5 linked regions of the Callithrix jacchus genome follow. The protein of the gene in region 4 binds, or shares a complex with, the protein of the main gene of each other region. Links are inferred from orthologs where the notes say so. Each region holds a gene or a part of one and is shown on either strand. Other genes may lie near its edges.

Region 1 (4,091 bases), on a different chromosome or scaffold from region 4:
CATGTTGCCCAGGATGGTCTCAAACTCCTGACTTCAGGTGATCCACCCGCTTCGGCCTCTCAAAGTGCTGAGATTACAGGTGTGGGCCACTGCACCCTACCTAACCACAGTGATTTTAATTACCTGTATGCCCAGACCTCCATGAGAACCAAGCCCGTTTCAGCTCAGAGGTATGCCAAGTCAGTATCCTTCTCCACAGCACCTTCAGCAGGAACACCCTCTACCTTGTTTGCCTGGAGAACTCCTACTCATCCTTCAACACCCAACCCAAATGTTCCTTACTCTGCAAAACCTTCCTGCAGCTACACTGGCCGGGTGTCTCATCTGGGCTGTCACAATACTTTGCACTTCCTCATTGTTAGGTCTCTAGATTAGGACTTTTTCAGCCAGGGACTACTGCCCTCCCCACAGAGGGAACGTTGAGTGTAGGAGCTGAGGCCAACATCTCTCAGGGTCTGTAACATTGCCCAGCACAAGGCTAGCCATAGAGGTATCGCTCAGTCAGTGTGTGTTAAATCAATGTCAAAAGCAGGGGCTATGCTACCTTGGACAGACTGTGTCCCCCAGCTCTGCCTCAGCCCCCCACTCACCACACCATTGACGGACAACAGTTGGTCCCCACGCTTGAGGCCTCCATGGCGGTCAGCCACGCCCCCCGGGATGACCCGGGAGATGTAGATGGGCGAGTTCTGCTCTTTGCCACCCATGATGTTGAAGCCCAGGCCCTCATCCGTCTTGGGCAGCTCCACTACCCGGGGATGTGCGTGGCCCTCGCTGGCTGTGAAGGCAGCCACTGTGGCCTGGGAGAGAGAAAGCAGCTGGAGGTGAGACCCCTCCAAAGTGGGCATGAAGGCTGGGGAGGAGAATATGGACCGAGGACAGCGATTTAGCCTGGGTTCTATCCCCAAGCCTGGGACAATTGCCATGACACAATGCAAAATCCCCCTGAAATGTCTGTGCGCCCCTTTCCCTTCACTTTGCAAGAGAATGTGTCCATTTGGTGTGAGTGTGTCTTGAATACCCCACGCTTGCCAATCTTACCTTTTTTTTTTTTGAGATGAAGTCTCGCTCTTTCCCAGGCTGGAGTGCAGTGCCACAATTTCGGCTCACGGCAACCTCTGCCTCCTGGGTTCAAGCGATTCTTCTGTCTCAGCCTCCCGAGTAGCTGGGATTACAGGCATGTACCACCACGCCCAGCTAATTTTTTTGTATTTTTGTAGAGATGGAGTTTCACCATGTTGGCCAGGCTGGTCTTGAACCCCTGACCTCAAGTCAGGACCCACCTCAGCCTCCCAAAGTGCTAGGATTACAGGCATAAGTTACCATGCCTGGCCTCAATCTTACTTTTTTTTTTTAGAGGCAGGGTTTCACCATGTTGGCCAGGCTGGTCTCAAACTCCTGACCTCAGGTGATCCGCCCACCTCAGGCTCCCAAAGTGCTGGGATTACAGGCCTGAGCCGCCGCACCCAGCTCTTCGATCTTACTTTTACACTGAGAAAAGCCAGGCCTGGAGGGAGCTCAGAGCCTCCGGGCAGAAGCAGGCGGCAGCATCTCACTGTGGTGCAGTGGGATGTCAGCTCGCCGTGACTTTCCTGGTTTGCACTGTGCAGATGTTGAAGGTTATCTTCTAGCCCGCCATGCCACACTGGTTTCCATTTGCAGTTGCTAAAAAGATACCTTCGTATGACATTTGTTTTAAGTAAAAATGTGCAACTATTTAATAATAGGAAGGGTGGCACATAGATTTGGCAAAAATCTTGAGGGAAGAAACAGAAATGACTGGCGTGAAGGAGATAACCGAGCTCCACCAGGCAGCTACGCAGATACCAGGAGCAATGGAATGGGGTGAGGGGCCCACCTTGGCTGTGGCATGGGCCCTGATCTCGGCGCTGCCGGTGAGGTCCAGCGTGTCATAGAGCTGCTCATATACCTGGGTGAAGAGGCAGCCGCATCAGGGAGCCGCCAGCCCCTCCGGCCCTAGACACAGAAGTCCGGGCCCCAGACCCTCTCCCGATCCCACGCCAGGATCCGCCCCGCCCCCCGCAATCAGAACCCGAGGAAACTACAACTCCCGAAGAACCCCTGAGCTGAAGAGTGGGCACCCAAGGCGGGCCGCCTCGGGAGCTGCCGGGAGGCGTAGTCCCCGAGCTCGAGGCGAGCAGGAGAAGGAGGAGGAGGAGGACGACGGTCGCCAGCTCGCGCCCCTGCGCCGCGCGCCCCTCACCTCTCGGATAGCGGAGCAGAAGCGGCTCTGCAGGACTCTCTGGAGGGCCTGCAGCTTCTGCGGGGGCAGCTCTCCGCTACGCTGGAGCCGCTCGAGGAGCTCCACTGCCCGGGACACGTCTGCGGGGCGGGGGCGGGGGCGGGGCGCAGAGACCGCGAGTGTCAGAGACCCCGAGACGCAGAGGAGCGAGGAGAGCGGCGGAGTGAGGGCGAGCGCACAGCCCCGGGAGGACGGCCGAAGCCCAGTCGGACGCCCTGCAGAGTCCAGGGTGACGCAGGAGAAACCGCCACCAGCCGGGCGCCTTGCGGCCCCGGGACCGCTCCACAGGCCGGGGTGTAAAGCGGGCGCCCCCCGCCCCGGCCCGCGCCCACGGAGCCTCCCACACCCCCCGACCGCCCGGCCCCGGCGCCCGCCCCGCCCACCCGCGCCGGCCAGGCCCGGGAAGGGAGGGGACCGGGGACTGGGGACGCAGGCCGCGGTGGGCAGGGCCCCCTGGCGCGCGCTTACCCCGCTCCAGCCCCAGCGGCTCCACCAGCGCAGCCATGTCGGCGCCACCGCTGCCAGCCGCCAGCCTGCCCCGGCGCCGGCGAGGGGGGCGGGGCTGCGCGAGGCCACGCCCCGGGCCACGGGCGCCCCCTGCGGAGGCGCAGCCGGGAGAGCGCCCTGCTCCCCCACGCCGGACAGCCCCGACCCGCTGCCGCGCGCCACCCGCAGCCCTGCCCTCCGCCCCGGGCGGTCGGTCCTGTTGGCGGGCCCTCCCATTGCAGGTTCGGTCTGTGTGTCCCTTTCACGATCCCTGTCTGCCTGTCCTCCACACCTGTCTACCCCCTGTCCATCCTTTTCCCACATTCATTCAACAAACTCTTGTGAAACATCTTCTGGGCCCGAGGCATGGACACCGTGGTGAGCAGGACAGCCAAGCCCACAGCCCGAACGGAGCTTCCAGTCTATGGGGGAGGTAGACAGCCAACCACGACTGTGATGAGAGCTGAGTGGGGAGGCGATGATCCAGAAGACGAAGGAAATCCTAGAGGAGGGACTTGACAGAGTCCCGGGAGGTAAGATGAACACCCCCACCACGCAGAAGGAGCCCACGTGGCTGGAAGCAGAGTTGGGATTCCTTGATGATGAGGTGAAAAGGCCGGCAGGATAGTTTATGCCTGGGCTCCTGCGTTGGCATGTGTATTGGGGATTTGGGGCTTCATGCAAACTCCTAAGGGTAAAATATGGCACTCAAATTTGTATTTATATATTTTTGAGACGGAGTTTCACTCTTGTTGCCCAGGCTGGAGTGCAATGGCACCACTCCGTCTTCCGGGTTCAGGCGATTCTCCTGCCTCAGCCTTCGGAGTAGCTGGGATCACAGGCATGCGCCACCAGGCCTGGCTAATTTTGTATTTTTAGTAGAGACGGGGTTTCTCCATGTTGGTCAGGCTGGTCTCAAACTCTACCCGCCTCGGCCTCCCAAAGTGTTGTAGTACAAGCATGAGCCGCCTTGCCCGGTGGATACTGGGTATTTTGAATTTGAGGAGCCTGTGCAGAATCCATGGGGAGAAGCAGTCGATCTACGTCTAGGGCTCAAAAGAGCAACCTGGTCTGCAGGCATCCTTGAGTATTGGGGCAGAGGTGGTAAATGAAACCACAGGAGTGGATAAGAATGTCAGGGGCAAGAGAATATAAAGAGGGCCTAGGACTGGTCCCCAAATCTCTCTAACACTTAAAAGCGGGGGACAGCAGAGAATGACCTGAAATGTAGGAGGAAACCCAGGTGGGAGAAACTATGAAAAGAGAGTTAAAAAAAAAAAAAAAAAAAAAAAAAAAATTTGCCGGGTGCAGTGGCTCAAACCTGTAATCCCAGCACTTTGGG
Region 2 (3,961 bases), on a different chromosome or scaffold from region 4:
AGGAAATGAAACAAATGGAATCGGTTAAAGCAGTCTTGTGATTACTCTTGTATTGGACTTTGGAACAGCAGAAGTTCATGTATTTTTCTTAAAAATGCCCATCACCCCCTAGACTGATGGCCCACTTGAGCTGTATGTATACTGGTGGCAAACGAAAAACATTCAATGAAAGAAAATCTTATTTATGTGGTTTTAGTTAGCAAAAATTTTTTTAGAAGATAGCATCACTTTAAAACTCTAGCAAAACTTATTTTCAGTTTTTTTTTTTTGGTGCTTATTAACGAAAACCCTGCAATAAAACAAACAAACAAAACCTCTTTCCAACAGCCTGGAAGATTTTGCACCAAATCTTCCATATATAATATATATAATTAATTGTGATTACCTTTGGGTGGTAGAATTGGTGACCATTTTCTTTTGTTTGCCTCTCTGCATTTTTTTTTTTTTTTGGAGAGGGGCAGAGTCTCACTCTGTCGCCAGCCAGGCTGCAGTGCAGTGACACGATCTCAGCTCGCTGCAATCTCTGCCTCCCAGGTTCAAGCAAATTTCCTGCCTCAGCCTTCTGAGTAGCTAGGACTACAGGCACACACCACCATGCCCAGCTATTTTTTTTCTTTTTTATATTTTTAGTACAGATGAGGTTTCGCCATGTTGGCCAGGATGATCTCGATCTCCTGACCTCCTGATCCACCTGCCTTGGCCTCCCAAAGTGCTGGGATTACAGGCTTGAGCCGCCATGTCCGGCCTGCCTGTCTACATTTTTTAAAGCAATGAAGAAGAGGAAAGATGCCTTTAAAAATATATTCTAAGTAATATTCAGTGAAATGTAAACAGTTTGAGAATGTTTTTCATGATAGACACAGATTTGAAGAGAGGGAGAGTATTAGTTGGCAGCCTAGAATTTGCAGCTTGGACTTTATTTCTCCCTATCAAGATTATAGATTGGTTGTACCAGCCAGGGAGCAAACAGCTGACCTCAAATCACATGCCAATATACTCACAATTGAACAATCATTGAAGAAGCTATAAAGCACACAAAATGCACAGTAGTTAAAAATAATAAACAAATGACGCTTCTGTGTTTTCTTGCCTGAGAACAAGGGCCTGTTCTTCTAGTCTTTATAACAAAATAGTGAGACTCTGTGGAAAAAAATACAGCAGTTGGTAAATGTTCTAAACGAAGCATTGCCAGTACATCATAAACTCCGAGTGCTTCTGACTTCACCTGTGATTGGGTAAGAATGCTGACTGGCTCCGAGCAGGTGGCCAGTGGGCCTCTAGATATTAATTCATTTCAGAAAATGGCCATTAGGAAATTTCATTTTTTTCTTTCTTAAAGTCAAATTCCTGAATTTGGTTTTTAAAACAGGAGAAGTATTTCCTAGTGAGAAAGTGATTTATTTAGTTTTTCCACGTTACTGAAACAAGCTTATTTTTTTTTTTAAGGTAACATCGTTCAAAGACAGATTAGTTGATAAAAAACAGTTTAGAAAGACTTGCAAAGTTTCCATTTGGGAAGCAAAACGTCTTTCTATTGCATTTATTCCTGTGTGTTTGACATAGCGAGGCAAAAACAGAAGCCCTGCTCCGTCCTCCGAATCAGCTGCCCGCTTTGGTTTCATGGGTTTTGTTTCCCTTGCTACCTGGGGGAGAAGAGTTGTGCTGATGCTTACTTTTCGGACATCCAAATGGTGGGGATGGTTTGTGGCAACCCCTCCACTTGCCAGTCCCGAAATACTTTTTTAGTGCAGGGTCAGGCATCCACATTTCCCTGAGGGAGCTCTCCTGGATAGCTTGCCAGGACACCACAGTGTGCAACCAAATACTAGAGTATGAAATGAAAGAGGCGATGGCGGTATTTGTGCTTGATGGGCAGAGAACTGAGGATGGCAGGTCAGCTTGCTGGGCTCTATTCCAACAAATGTCCTTTAGACAGTTGATCTCTTTGCTGGGCTGAACTCTACTAGATACCGTGTGGGATTCTGGTGACAGGAGGGGAATAATTGGAGATGTTTGTTGATTTCAATGTCAGTTGACATATCTTTATTGGGCATCTGCAATGTGTTAGGTGCTAATAGATGCAAATAATTTTACAAAGAAGAAAGTTAGACCTATGAAAGTATTTCATAATTTACAGTGAGTTTTCCTTTGCATTACTTCAAAGAAGATACAAAGGCATGGTCCTTGCATTCAAAAATTCATAATCTATTAGGTGAGATAAAATATGTAGATAAATCATTACATTACAGAGTAGAATACAATACAGGTCACTAGAAAAAGGGCCAGACCCTGACCAGGGAATGAACAACTATGCTGGAGTCGCATGCCAATGCTTGCCCACCTCAGCATTCAAAAGAGGGACAGGTCACATCCAGCTCTGGTTCCAGCTGTGTCTGAGCAAGATGTACATGACAGAATCTGGATGTGTGAATAGAGAGAAGAGAGTGGTTGTACTTTTGTCACCTTCAAAGTACTTAAAGGGTCACACTCTTGGTTTTGGTTTCTGGTTCAACGTCTCCTGGAGGATGTGTACAACAGCCATTTGGTTGCTTTTGCAGAACCTGTACTTTTTTTGTTGCTGCTGTTGAGAGAGGGTCTCACTTTGTCACCCAAGCTGGAGTGCACTGGTGGATCTCAGCTCACTGCGACCTCTGCCTCCTGGGTTCAAGCGATTCTCCTGCTTCAGCCTCCAGAATATCTGGGACTACAGGCATGCACCACCATGCCTAGCTAATGTTTGTGTTTTTAGTAGAGAATGGATTTCACTATGTTGGCCAGACTGGTCTTGAACTCCTGACCTCATGTGATCCACTCACCTCAGCCTCCCAGTGTACTAGGATTATAGGCATGAGTCACCATGCCCGGCCTGAGCCTGTACTTTAAAATTTTAAATCATTTTTGGAGCCCACAAGCTAATCGAATTGTAGCTGATATTTCAAGTGGAATTAGCCTGGGTACAGTGGCTTATGTCCATAATCTCAGCACTTTGGGAGGCCAAGGCAGGCGGATGACTTCAGATCAGGAGTTCGAGACCAGCCTGGACAACATGGCGAAACATCATCTCTACTAAAAATACAAAAATTAGCCAGGTGTGGTGGCACATGCCTGTAATCCCAGCTATTCCAGAGGCAGGAGAATCACTTGAACCTAGGAGGCGGAGGTTGCAGTGAGCCAAGATCTGCCACTAAACTCCAGCCTGGGTGACAGAGTGAGACTCTGTCTCAAAAAATAATAATAATAATAATAATTCATGTGGAATTAAACCTCTTGACAGTGGTCTAAGTTTCACTTTTGCACCATTTTCTAAAGCACCACAATTTAGGGAAAACTTTTTTTCAGTTGTGGGGGATGATTTATAGACCTCAGTCACTTAGATGATTAACTTGGTCCTAAAATTTGTAACTCTTCAATACAAGTTTACAAAATTCATCATGGTGCCTAGGGGAGACCTCTCTTGGCTAAGGGATAGTTTTTCAGTAAACATTTTTTGTTTCAACTCTTTATTCTGATAAATATTCTAAAATGGTGTAGAAGGATTTATTGCCTTGGTAATGAGGAGACATTATTATTTTCTTGGGAAATGTAATATCATGTGGTGTCTCAAATTTCTTATTCTGAGTGCCAGTTGCTATTGAACAGGGCTATAGATAAGGAAGATAAGGGCGTTATAAACGAATGTGTACTGACGTCGGAAGTTTCCTTGAAAACAAGTAACTTACTAAATTTCCTCTGATATAAGTGTATGTGTGTGTTGTTCTTCCGATAATTTAAAAAGAATTTTAAAAAATAGTAATTCATTAGAGATTCTGATTAGTCTGATATTTTTGCATTTCCGGGTTTGCTTATAATTTACTGCATTCATCTGGTTCTGTGACTCTCATGTCCTGATGTGTCCAGAAAGGTCAAGACCTGCCTTAGAAAGTCTTCCACATTCATTCAGCGAGAGAAATGAAGGAATGTG
Region 3 (4,268 bases), on a different chromosome or scaffold from region 4:
ATCAATCATTTTTATTTATAAAGTTATAATATGTTAAGCCATATAAAAATTTCCAATTAACAAAAAAACGGAAAAACGTAAAATGCTTTTGACTAAATCTAAACTGTACCTAATACGTGCTCAAATTTGTGTTTCATTAAAATAATATTTTGATGATTTAGAAGGGATTCTAAATCATCATATGTGATCAGGTACTGAACTGTAACTGTACTATAGGATTTTCTACTGTAGAACTGTTGGGAGTGTTTGCTAATAGAGTCTGTTAGAATTCTAAGAAAGAATCAGAGCTGATGTAATCTTTTTCCCCTGCTAAATGGCAACTACTAGTACAGCTGTCTCGATAACCGTGGAGGGTTTGTTAGGACCTTCTTCGGATATCACAGATATCAAAGTCTGCAGATGCTCAAGTCTCTGATATAAAATGTAGTATTTGCATATAACCTATGCATATTCCTGCTCCATACTTTAAATCATCTCTAGATTACTTACAATATCTGATGCTATGTTAATAGTTATATCACATTATTTTTGTCGTTGTTGTCATTTTGAGATGGAGTCTTGCTTTGTTGCCCAGGCTGGAGTGCAGTGGCAAGATATTTACTTACTGCAACCTCAGCCTCCCAAGAAGCTGAGACTACAGGTGACTGCTACCATACCTGGCTAGTTTTTGTATTTTTAGTTGATAAGGGGTTTCACCATCTTGACCAGGCTGGTCTTGAACACCTGACCTCGTGATCCATTGACCTCATGATCCACCTACCTCAGCCTCCCAAAGAGCTGGGATTATAGGTGTGAGCCACCGCTCCAGGCCATACCATATTACCACATTGTTTAGGTAATAAGGACAAGATAAAAATGTACACATTCTATAGACAGGATTTTTTTCTCTAAGTATTTTCAAACTGTAGTTGGTTGAATTCATGTACGTGGAACCCATGGATATGGAGGGTTGACTGTTATTCATCCCTCTAAGGGGCTGAGACTTTACTGAAGAATGGAAAAGGAAAACAAGCCTGTAACAGCACAAAGCAAAGCCATGACTATCAAAACTAATTGCCACAGGAGTTACACATTTTGTGCTGCATTTAACAACACAGAAAACCGGCTGGGTGCGGTGGCTCATGCCTGTAGTCCTAGCACTTTGGGAGGCCAAGGCAGGTGGATAGCCTGAGCTCAGGAGTTCGAGACCAGCCTGGGCAACATGGTGAAACCCCGTCTCTACTAAAATACAAAAAATAGCCAAGCGTGGCAGAGTGTGCCTGTAGTCCCAGCTACTCGGGAGGCTGAGGCCGAATTGCTTGAACCCGGGAGGTGAAGGCAGTAGCGAGTGAGATTGCGCCACTGCATTCCAGTCTCTTCGACAGGGCGACACTCTGCCTCTGGGAGTAAGACCACCAATATGTTAGAATCTTACAACTAGCTTTTCAAAGAAAAACTCCTACTTCTGTTAACACCAAACAGATTTGCTCCCATCTAGGAAACACAATGCCATTGTGCTCAAGAGAAAGATGTCAGTCTTAGGCCTAACTCGGCAAGTGTTCCCAGAGTAGCTAGTCCTGTCTAAAATGACGTTTTAATAGGCTTAAGGGAAAGAATCTCATTTACTAGGAGGCTTCCAAATGGTGAACACTATAAAGAACAAATCAGCGATACTAAGTGCACCTTTGTTTGTGGGGAGGCATTAGGAAAGAGGTTTTTCTAAGTACAGTAATTCTAAAAATGTGTTTTCTTAGGGAACAATAGTAATACTCAGACTGTAACTGCAAATGTTAATATGTGCAATATAATTTTAGTCTCTATTCTACACTTTCTTTTTTTTACCACCAGAACTCAAAATATTTACTCATGCTTCTTAACTCCTATCAATGACTTCTAATGATGGTGTATGAAAAGCATGCTTAAAATTGTTTGAAATAAAGGATTTAGGGACAGAGTGGAAGGCTGGAAATCCGTAACAGGACTGGAAACGCTGGAATGCTGGAAATCTGGTAGGCGCATAGCCAGCTATTTTCAGTCTTCTCTATCTCTAATTACTCAGCAGAGGAGGTTTTATTTTCCTTGACAGTCTGCTCTAGGGAAGAATCAACCAACCAGTTTTGCAACTGTGGGTTTGTAAGAAATTGAAAACCTTACACCTGCAAGTGTTTTAGCATCTACCACTATTCTGCTTACTTATGTAACCTTTTTCCCAAGACCAAGTCAGTAGGATTGTTTTTAAAGCAACCTCTCCATTTCTGGGAGGGGCACAAAAGCTAGCAAATACCCCAACCCAAATACAAGTGGGGTTGTGGGAAAAGTAATGAAGAAGTTTGCGTGTAAACAAGGGGGAAGGGAGGTTCTGTTGAATTGGACCGTGTGTCCGTCTTCGTGTTGTACAGGCAATGAACGTAGTCTGTACGAACTGGGTGTGTGACGTTTGCTTTTCGGGTAAACGGGTCTCCGAATGCTGCTTATGCTGTACCCACCAAGGGAGCGCGTGTGCGGCGTGTGTCTGCGAAGCTAGCAGGTTATATTTAGTTGTGCTGTGCCCCGGGACAGCCCGTGTTAACAGAAGAGGGCTTTGAGTATCAGCTGAAAGACCGTAAGCGTCCTTCCTACAGCCAGGCACAGAGACATCGGCGGCCTCTAGCGCCAGCGCAAGGGACAGCCTGGCTCCGGATCTCAAAGCCTGGGTCACCCCTCCACCCCTCCAGCGACCTAGGACTCCTTCAACCCTTCCGCCCACCTCCGCCGAGCTTCGGCTGCACTCACCCCTCTCCAGCCGCACGGGTTCCCCTAGCGCCGCCATCTTCTCCCTTAGCCTACAGACCCACAGGAAATGACGACAGAAAGGCTGCGGTGGAGAGGCGGGGCCCGCCGGAAGCCGGAGAAGTGAGCGCCTGTCAGTATCGCGAGATCGGGAGGTTGGCCGGTGGTTTCGTAGCCGCCATCAGGGTAAGGGTACTTGGACTTGGCGGCTTTTGAGTTTGGCTTGGCTCTGCACCTTCCGCGGCCTCCTAGGGTTGGAAAGAGCTGCTTTCCTGACTCTGTTCTCTCCCTTGGGTTTCCCTTATCCTAACCGCTTCGGATCCTTGGCTCCACGCAGAGGAGTCAAGTAGTCGATTCTAGTCCCACCTTGATCATTAGCTCTTTGACCCGGGACTGTTCATTTACCCTCTCTCGGCCTCAGTTTTCGCATCTGTACAACGAGAGGTCCTATCACTTAGGTGCTTTCAATTTTTAAACTCTGAGATTCGGTGGCAATTAAGTGTGTAATGACATGTTGTCAGTTCTCAATTTGTGACAGCGTTGCTTTAAATTTAAAAACCCACCTCTTGAATCTTCCCTCCAAATCTGTTTAAGGGTGAAAAGTACAAAGAGCATGAAACATATCTGGGTGAGGGAGAAAACAAGGTGCTTTGGGTGTACCACAAAGTAACAATTTTATAAGCAGGTGATTCTTATAAAATCTTAAGTAAATGAAATATTTTGAAGCAAATAGTAAATTCTCAGTGCATTACAGATTCTTTGAGCCAATTCTGAAAATTTCATGAACCAAGAAAAGTTTTTGTATTTGCATTTGACTAACATTTACCCAAGCCCTTAGTCTGTGCTGATACTGTGGTAGATGTGTTTACATCCAACATTTCAACACTTCATGATAGGACTGTTTTAATAACTAGTTGCCCCTGGTCCACCCTTTCCATTCACCTTTAGTATTTTTCTTTTCCAAATCCATCATGAATGCCACTACTATGCTCCTTTTTCTCCCCTGGAATTCTGATTTCATCATCACAAGTTCGTTCAGAAACTTTCAATAGTTTCTCTCCTGTTACCTATTTCTAAAGCCTTGCATACTCTGACCCTAACTCATCCAACTAACCTTTCTCATTACCTCTAGGTGCAACCACCACTTCAGTCCAGGTGGTATATTTTCAGTCATGTTTGTTCCTCGTTCTAAGTCTTTATGTTTGTTTTAGAGACATTGTTTCTCTCCGTTGCCCAGACTGGAGTGCAGTGTTGCGATCATTGCTCACTAAACTTGGGCTCAAGACAGCCTCCTATCTCAGCCTTGCCCCTAGTGGGGACTACAGGCAAGCACCACCATGCCTGGCTAATTTTAAAATTTTTAGTAGAGATGGGGGTCTTGATGTGTTGCCCAGGCTGGTCTTGAACTCCTGAGCTCAAGCAGTCCTCCTGCTTAGGCCTCCCAAAGTGCTGGGATTACAGGTGTGGGCCACTGCACCGGGCCCCAAATCTTCATTTATGTTGTTCTTGTGTGGAATGCC
Region 4 (3,510 bases):
ATAAATGTTGCTGAGAAACAAAGAATGTCACACTTAACATTTTATGTAAATAATTTTAATGTTCTAGAATTACAGATGTCCTCATACCATTTCTCATCTGTTGAAGAAATGTAGTAAATACAATTGATTTTTGTCTTTTTGGCTAACCAGAAGGTACTGTTAGTTATTAATATAACATAAGTTTTTCTTTTGTTTTTTAAGTGGTTGAAGTAGTTTGGGGTGGAACCAGTATCATGCATGTAAATTCTATGTTCTTGAGTAAGAAGAATCCCTCTTACCTTCTTTGCCTTTGAATAGTAGAAAAAATAATACTTGTCTTCTAGCTCCACCTCTACCCTTTTTGGCCCTCCTGTTCCCCGGGAGAATTCAAGCTTGTGGTTGGACTCTTCCCAGCTAGGGCAACACTTGCAAAAAAAAACAAACAAACAAAGAAGGCTCTCTGACCACCTGCAACTGCATCTCCGAGGCCCTTGGTTAAAGAGTAGACCCCTGGCCCTACTGACTTGAGTCTCTGTGGGTGGCACCTGGAGATCAGCCTTGCTCACTAACATATGAGAATGCTCTTCTAAGGGATCTCATTACCTTTAAGGCTGACAGGTTATAGAAATGCTCTTAAATCATCTAGGGAAAAAAAAAATGTCTTTTAAAGAGACATGTACATTTCTAAGGCTTAAAAGAACTCTACAAAAGCAAAAATTAAAAAGTACTTATTTCCTTCCTTTCCTTGTTCTTATCGTTAAAGTTGATTTGGACAGTCAGGAAATGGAGCCTGGAAAATATTTTGAGTGTGTAGAATAGTAGAGAGAGCAAGCGATGGAGGAGCCTGGATATAGAAAGAGTGGCTGTGGCTCCTAGGATCTTTGCTGGAAGTGTAATATTGTTTTAAGCTTGAGACTATTGTTTTAATAAATTACTAAAATGATCTTAAAAAAATTTCTTCTCTGATGTGTATCTCTTTTACCCTTACTAGTAATAATATTTATTCTATAATAGAAAGATTCTGAGGTGGTTATAACATGTGAAATCTTAGGTTTGTTTCTCTTCTTTTTTTTTTGGGGGGGGGACGGAGTTTCGCGCTTGTTACCCAGGCTGGAGTGCAATGGCGTGATCTCGGCTCACGGCAACCTCCGCCTCCTGGGTTCAGGCAATTCTCCTGCCTCAGCCTCCTGAGTAGCTGGGATTACAGGCACGCGCCACCATGCCCAGCTAATTTTTTGTATATTTTTTAGTAGAGACGGGGTTTCACCATGTTGACCAGGATGGTCTCGATCTCCTGACCTCGTGATCCACCCGCCTCGACCTCCCAAAGTGCTGGGATTACAGGCTTGAGCCACCGCGCCCGGCCGAGTCAGTAATTCTTGACAGTGAGGTACTAAAAATTATTAAATATTTTTCAAACCTAATTTTTAATAAAAATTAGACACTTGGGATCTTCGGCACAAAAACTTTATAGTAATATTTTGTCATCTTATACTTGACAGGGTTTTAATATCAAGTCACTCTTCTGGGTCTCATTAAAAGAAAGAAAAGGTTATACAATGTTAGAGATAGGAAAGAATTGATTAATGAATGACACAGTCATCACTTACAATATGTGAATCTTCGAACTGCAAAATTTTTTTCATACTTCTGTGAAATCATGCAAGCAAGTCAGTATGGCACTTATACTGCTCAAACCTCAAAGGAAATGGTTGTCAGACTGTGGTTGTAACTGTTGATATAAATATCTCTGTGTTTCTGTGCTGGTGTTCTGTGTTAATGAACCTTGTGTCTTATTTCAGAGAGATTCCCCCTCCACTTCCAGACAGTCCCCAGCTAATGGTCATAGCAGCACTAACAATTCTGTTTCGGTAAGAACTTTAGCTCCACACAACAAAGTGTGACAATTTTGTTGGTGCTCACCTGCCATGAGTGTTCTAGTTACATGTGTTCAGTGGAAATAGTGTCTTCTGCTGATATACAAGGCTACTACAGCTACAATGCACTTTACTCCTGGAAAATCTTTTTCAACACTTCCTTCTCATTAAAAAGCCCCTTCAGTAGTTAAATTTGAGGAAATGTAGTTCAAAACTGCTTTGGTCATTCTAAAAATATTTCTATGCCACCCCACTCATATGTATGACTTTCCTCAAACCTATGCAAAGGATGTAAATGGAAATTTGTTTAAACTTCTAAATATTTTTTATTTTGAAAAAGATAAATGTAAGAATTTTTTAGAGTAGGCATTTGGGTATTCTTGGGCTTTGTAGTTTTCTACTCTGAGTGATATCAGCAACATGTTATAGTTTCCGCTATCTAAGTTTACGAATTGGTGTGCCCTCTGTTATTGTGGTACGTGCACATATTTTTGTGAATTATAAGCCTTGCCTGGATATGAAAAGCAAAAAGAACTGGCTTCAAACTGCACTTAAGCCACGCTGTTATCACATCTTTAACACAAAGTACTTTATATTGGACTTGAACATGGAGTTTTAAATTTTTTCAGAACTATCCATTTTGGAATATAGAAAGAATTGTTTTTCACTTATTTAAACAAATGGAAGCACTTAACAGGTGCAGGTTGGCAATATTTTGGTTGCTAATACTGCTGTTTATCACCTAGTTAAAATTATTGAGAGTTCTAATAATGCAGCAGTATTCTTCTATCTTGACTTTTAATTTGCCCTTTGAGAATATATCAACTTTTTTATCAGGTAAAATTGTAAATAATTTAGAGATCATCTCAAATGGAATGATATTCTAAGTATATCAGTAAGAGAAATTATGAAAGAAAATTGTCTATGACTTTATTTTCAACTTTAAAATAGGCTACCAAAGGAATTCATTTGTAACAGTTAACATTTAATACTTTTAAGATGGTGAAAAGCCATATAGCCATTGAATTTTTCAAAATCTAAATGGTTGCAGTGACTAAGTTGAAAAGGGCAACAGCTCCTTTTATTTTGGGGTTTTTTTAATAGGCTATTTAACTTGCAGTGGCTTTTGTGTTGAAGATGCTGAGTTGTTTCTTAAGAACACATTTTCTCTCTGCTTAAACTTACCTGCTTTCTTCAGCTTGCTGCTAAATGGCCTGGGTTTGATTTTTTTGATAACTCAACATTTCTGAGAAATGGAATAATGTATATTATCTCTTTACAACTTAAATCTAGCTCATTTTTTAACCATATTGTAACAGAACACACAAATTACTTTGTACTCTTGAAAAGTAAATGAAAATTTTTCTCCTGGGTTGGCTTTATTCTACAGGACTTGCCATCAACTACCCAACCAAAAGGACGACAGGTGAATAGATATCCTCTATAGAAACTTCTCTAAACTAAGCTGCTAATAGCCAATCCTTTATTAACCCTTTCCATCCCATAATGTCTGCATTTTGGACCATAACATTTGAGCATTGAGAGCTTGTACCATTTCATTTTAACACATTACACATGACTAATTCTTTATGAAGAATTTTTCCTCACATCTTTGTAGCTGTGATGGTTATTGTAATTTCAACCTGATAATTTT
Region 5 (4,178 bases), on a different chromosome or scaffold from region 4:
ATGAATTTAGAAATGGTCTCTTCCCTCAAGGAGTTCCATCCGATAGGGAGAGAAATGCAACAGAGTATGATAAATGCTTTAATGGGGCCAAAGCAGCAAGTCAATTTAGAGCACATCAAAGGGTACCAAAGCAGCCTGGGAGAGAGGTGATCTGGAAAATCTCCCAGTAGGTGACCAAAAACTGAGTCTTAAGTCTAATTAATTGAATTATAGACTGCTAAAGCTGCAAAGTGTTAGAGTCATCTAATTCAAACTCCCGATGTGGCACAGAGAGAAACTCATGTGCTATGAGGCTGGTGTATTGAGAGTGAATATCAGAGTTGAAACTAGGACCCAGATATGTAATACTGGGCTGCATCTTTTAAAATGCACCTTTTTTGAAGAGAAATTTTCAGAATGTTTTCTTTCATCAGTTTAATCATGAAGGTAACCTATTAATGACTCATTTTAATAAGGTACAGAGAACAATATTTTATATATTGACTTTATGCTCAGTGGTGATGCCAATAACCCATCATCTCTTGGTTATAGATTTTGTGTGAGCTGCTGGTGAATTTTTCGGACCCATCCACAGGCTAATGCTGCTTGCCTCCTGAACTACTGCATGGACGTAATCACACTAAGGACAAGTAGAGTTTGGCCATGAGCAAGAACAAACTTTAAAAATAAATCTTAGTCCAATTAGCACCTCCTCTCAATAACTGACTGAGGCATCTAAGAGCTAAGGTAAAACCCAAACATTGAAATATTTTTAGTAGTAGTAGCAGTATATAAAATGACTCAGGTATGCAATCTTCTCGGAGTTTTGCTCCTAACGTAGTCACTTGATTTGGGATGTTTAACGACTGTGATTTTGTAATGGGACAATATAAGAGCTCATCACATTAAAACATAAATACTTGGGAAGTCCATAGTTTCTGATAGCTTGCCATCTGTTTGGTTCTTACTGGCAATGGATTTATCCTGCTTAGTGCAGATGATGATATTGTGGGTAAAATCATGGATTATACAACGGGTTTCTGAGGCCTTTAACTACTGTTATTAATTTTGCCAGCTTGCAAATCAACATTTTCTAATACAAAATCAATTACATTTTATTTTTCAACTCTTACTCTAAGAAAGGTTGCTATGGGCACCACATAGCATCTGTTCTGGCGCCAACAGATTGCGTTAAAGTCACCCACAGCCTCTCCAAATTAAAAACCTCAAACTGAGTTCACTGGCTTTGTCACTGTACTCCCAGCAGGATGCTCTTTTGCCTTGCCCCACCGTTCAGTTTAATCCTCTAGAAAGAAAATTTTTGGAGGTACATCGGACTAAATCATTTTCGTCTGACCACACCATTTCCAAATGGCCGCCCAGGGTCCTAAATCCGGCGGCTACGGAGAGGGACTAGCGGGTGTCCTCTGTAAAGCCCTGGGACTCCAGCGCCTTCATCACTGGACGTTGGAAGCCGGGAAGGAAACCCACACACTCAGAGACAGGTATAACCCCGCACGGGTGCACCAGCGAGGCCCGGATCACAGCAGAGGACTCCATCCCTGAGCTTGTGGCGGGGGGTGGGTCCTGGGGACGAAACCAACACTTTCCCCATTGAAGTCAGAGAGTGGGACGTACTGGGTCGCAGGTCAGAAGTTGAAATTTAACCCGACGAGCGCTGTGCCCCCGCGCCTTCCGCAGTAGCCCGGGCGCCGCGGTGACGCGGAGCTGGGAAAGGACGAGAGAGGCTGGCGCGGGAGAAGCTGAGAGTTGCCACAGACCGGGAGCTGCCGGCGGCCGGAACAGGCGCGACCCTCGCCGCTTTCGAACGCGAAGCCCGGGAGAGCCGGGCTCGGCTGCTGAGGCTCAACTGCCAGGGCTCGGCTCCCCGCGCTCTGCGTTGCCCTTAGGGCGGAGGGCAGCTCCCCGCCTGAGGCGGCTCCGCCGCCTTGCGTCCGGCCGCCCCGGGGTGCGCCCTGCCAGCCCCCCGAGAGGCCTCCCGGACTCCCGCAGGAGAACCGACCCTCGCCCTCCGGCGCCAGGACAAACTTCCTTCCTTCCGGGCCCCTGCGCCGCGCAGGCTGGCAAGCGGCTCACTAGCCGGTCTCCTCTGGGCTCGCTCCGGCCGGCGAGCTTGCTCCGTGCCTCTCTCCAACCCCGAGCCCCGGGCGCCTAGCAGTCCCCGCGCGGCCGGTCCAACAAAGCCAGGGGCCCGGAGGCGACCCGGCGAGGGGCTGGGAGTGGCTGCGGGGACCCCAGAGCCCGCAGGAGGCGTCCCCTCGGCGGGGCGAGTCCAGTGTGAAGGGGCGGCGGGGACGTGGCGGGGAGAAAAGGGGAAGAAAGTGTCCTGCTCCCGGCGCAAACGCCTTCCAGGCTCGCCCTGGCTCCCCTTCTCCCGTGGCCCGAGCGCGTCCCGCGTCCCGGTGGGAATTGGCCTGGGGGGGTCGGCGGGTGGGCGGCGGAGGGGAGAGAGGACATGGTGGCCTGGCGGGCGAACCGCGTCCTTACCTCTGTCCAGGGTGAGCGGCTGGACCACTGTCAATGTCGCCATGTCTGCCGTGGGAGCCGAAGTGACGCTCGGCTTCAGCATCAGCAACCGCTTGTAGTGAGAAAAAAAGGAGGAGATGGATTGGGGGCGGGGGTGGAGAGGGAAGACGGAAAGGAGGGGGAGGAGGGGGAAGGAGGGTGGTGGTGGTGGTGGAGAAGAAAGCTTGGGTGGGTTGGTAGCCAGATGGAGACGCAACTGTTCCGCGGTGGCAGTTCAATTGCGGCGCGGAGCTGAGCAGGTATCCGAGAGCGACTGCGTCGCCGGGCTCCGGAGAGAAGGCTCTGCCCTAGAACTTTGCTATTCCACCCCCAGGAGCGCTGGGTGGGTGTAGCTGGCGGGCTGCTCTCTTTCAACTTTCCCCTCTAATAAAATGGTCAGAATATACGTGTGTGTGTGTGTGTGTGTGTGTGTGTGTGCGCGCGCGCGCGCGCGCTTCTGTGTGTCGGGGAAGAGAGAGGATGGAAAGGGGATATGGGGGAGGGAGTAGGAGATGAGTTTTCTCAGATTAAGAGAAATCGTCAATACAATAATCCCATCCCCTTTAGAGAGAAAATGCTTCTACTGTCAGAAATGTTTGGGATGTAATTACACTTGCAGTTAATTTCTGTTGAAGTTTTTTTTGAACGTTGACTTATAACTGTATATAAAGATAACTGACTTAAGGCGAGCGTTCCATCCATAGATGTTCATTTAGGACCTGAGTATATTCCTGGTGAATAAAATCAAAAAAGGCAAACCTCTTAAAAGTGTTTCAAAATAAAAAAAAATGTAGGTAAGTTTCTCTCACTACATTTTCTTTTTTTTTTTCAAGCCACTGTTAATACTTTACCAGTTCAGTAAATGTAACCCAAAAATAAGTAGGATGTTCAGATTTTCTCCGAATTTTTTTACATACCACACCTCATAAACATGCCCTGCTCTCCTCCCTCCCTCCACCCAACAACAAAACTTTGCTCTTAATGACCAAACTGATTTTGGTTTCATATCACTACGTTTGAAAAATATGTACCTATCACTTTTCATGTTGTTTTCTAACCAGTGGTTCAGAGATGCCACTTATTACTTAACATATATACCAGGAATTGAGATAGAAGAGTTACATTACCTTGTGCCACGCCTTGATTTAGGAGTTCAATTTAGTCTCTGATTTCCTGTAGCCTGTAATGCAGTGGGAGATGATGTTATTAAAAGCCTGACTTTAGAGTCAGTTGATCAGGATTCAATTACTAGTGCCTTCAAATACTGGTTGTGACCCCTTCACCCCAAGAAACAGACTACTTTCACTATCTTGTCATTAGGAATTCATTTCCCGATTATGAAATCAACAAACATAAAGAAACCTTCTATAAGCTGAATAGGGGTGACTGTGAGTGCAGGATTGGAAAACACAAAGCTGCCTCCATCTTGTTCCCTGTGGCGGAGTTGAATTGTTAGGGCTAGCAATAAATTCTAAAAGGCAGCTACCGTTTTATAGCAAAATATTTGCATATAATTGATGCCATTTTCTTCTGATTACAGATATGATTTCTGAAGGTCTTTTTCATTTTATAGTCTACAATTGAATTTTAAGGAGCAACATTTCACCAATGATTGGGAAAGTCAAAGATGGTTGCCATATATAGACTTAATACACCCTAAAAACAAACCTAAA

Evidence for each region.
Region 1: the proteins of CASK (region 4) and LIN7B are in contact, whole or in part, in an NMR structure (PDB 1Y74), measured with the Mus musculus proteins. The link is inferred for Callithrix jacchus from reciprocal best matches to the Homo sapiens genes CASK and LIN7B. Residues at the interface, in NP_001271432.1 of Mus musculus: Ala405, Arg408, Ala409, Glu411, Val412, Glu415, Ile416, Tyr419, Glu421, Asn422, Asp424, Ala425, Glu427, Leu428, Ile431, Leu432, Gln434, Phe437, Ala439, Leu440, Leu441, Thr443, His444, Val447, Ala448; in NP_035828.1 of Mus musculus: Leu10, Asp13, Val14, Arg16, Ala17, Leu20, Leu21, Arg23, Leu24, Ser27, Glu29, Leu30, Pro31, Pro32, Lys34, Leu35, Ala37, Leu38, Val41, Leu42, Ser44, Phe46, Cys47, Ile50, Arg51, Tyr54.
Region 2: the proteins of CASK (region 4) and DLG1 are in contact, whole or in part, in an NMR structure (PDB 1RSO), measured with the Rattus norvegicus proteins. The link is inferred for Callithrix jacchus from reciprocal best matches to the Homo sapiens genes CASK and DLG1. Residues at the interface, in XP_038955489.1 of Rattus norvegicus: Gly339, Ala342, Ala343, Arg345, Ala346, Val347, Gln349, Val350, Ser353, Leu354, Glu356, Ile357, Leu360, Thr361, Asp367, Leu368, Phe370, Leu371, Ser373, Val374, Phe375, Asp377, His379, Leu380, Thr382, Leu383, Leu384, Asp385, Leu386, Tyr387; in NP_036920.2 of Rattus norvegicus: Arg4, Asp7, Thr8, Arg10, Ala11, Leu12, Leu14, Leu15, Tyr18, Lys21, Leu22, Glu26, Asp27, Leu30, Ser33, Ile34, Arg36, Val37, Ser39, Ile40, Phe41, Ser43, Leu45, Phe46, Leu49, Ile50, Gln53, Glu57, Val58, Leu60.
Region 3: CASK (region 4) and LIN7C share a complex: the UniProt entries of both Homo sapiens proteins name them as parts of the brain-specific heterotrimeric complex. The link is inferred for Callithrix jacchus from reciprocal best matches to the Homo sapiens genes CASK and LIN7C.
Region 5: CASK (region 4) and LIN7A share a complex: the UniProt entries of both Homo sapiens proteins name them as parts of the brain-specific heterotrimeric complex. The link is inferred for Callithrix jacchus from reciprocal best matches to the Homo sapiens genes CASK and LIN7A.

Annotation. Positions count from the first base shown.
Region 1 is NC_133523.1:42,926,078-42,930,168, reverse strand, and holds the start of LIN7B (protein lin-7 homolog B), read right to left. Parts: upstream 2,804-4,091; 5' UTR 2,769-2,803; coding exon 2,732-2,768; intron 2,344-2,731; coding exon 2,225-2,343; intron 1,931-2,224; coding exon 1,859-1,930; intron 801-1,858; coding exon 591-800; intron 1-590. UniProt on the Homo sapiens protein: Plays a role in establishing and maintaining the asymmetric distribution of channels and receptors at the plasma membrane of polarized cells.
Region 2 is NC_133516.1:24,799,153-24,803,113, forward strand, and holds the start of DLG1 (disks large homolog 1), read left to right. Parts: upstream 1-1,154; 5' UTR 1,155-1,235; intron 1,236-3,961. UniProt on the Homo sapiens protein: Essential multidomain scaffolding protein required for normal development. Recruits channels, receptors and signaling molecules to discrete plasma membrane domains in polarized cells.
Region 3 is NC_133511.1:92,876,921-92,881,188, forward strand, and holds the start of LIN7C (protein lin-7 homolog C), read right to left. Parts: upstream 2,804-4,268; 5' UTR 2,789-2,803; coding exon 2,752-2,788; intron 1-2,751. UniProt on the Homo sapiens protein: Plays a role in establishing and maintaining the asymmetric distribution of channels and receptors at the plasma membrane of polarized cells.
Region 4 is NC_133524.1:42,389,230-42,392,739, reverse strand, and holds part of CASK (peripheral plasma membrane protein CASK), read left to right. Parts: intron 1-1,781; coding exon 1,782-1,850; intron 1,851-3,246; coding exon 3,247-3,282; intron 3,283-3,510. UniProt on the Homo sapiens protein: Multidomain scaffolding Mg(2+)-independent protein kinase that catalyzes the phosphotransfer from ATP to proteins such as NRXN1, and plays a role in synaptic transmembrane protein anchoring and ion channel trafficking.
Region 5 is NC_133510.1:83,659,254-83,663,431, forward strand, and holds the start of LIN7A (protein lin-7 homolog A), read right to left. Parts: upstream 2,811-4,178; 5' UTR 2,724-2,810; exon of another isoform or gene 2,579-2,723; 5' UTR 2,570-2,578; coding exon 2,488-2,569; intron 1,485-2,487; exon of another isoform or gene 1,419-1,484; intron 1-1,418. UniProt on the Homo sapiens protein: Plays a role in establishing and maintaining the asymmetric distribution of channels and receptors at the plasma membrane of polarized cells.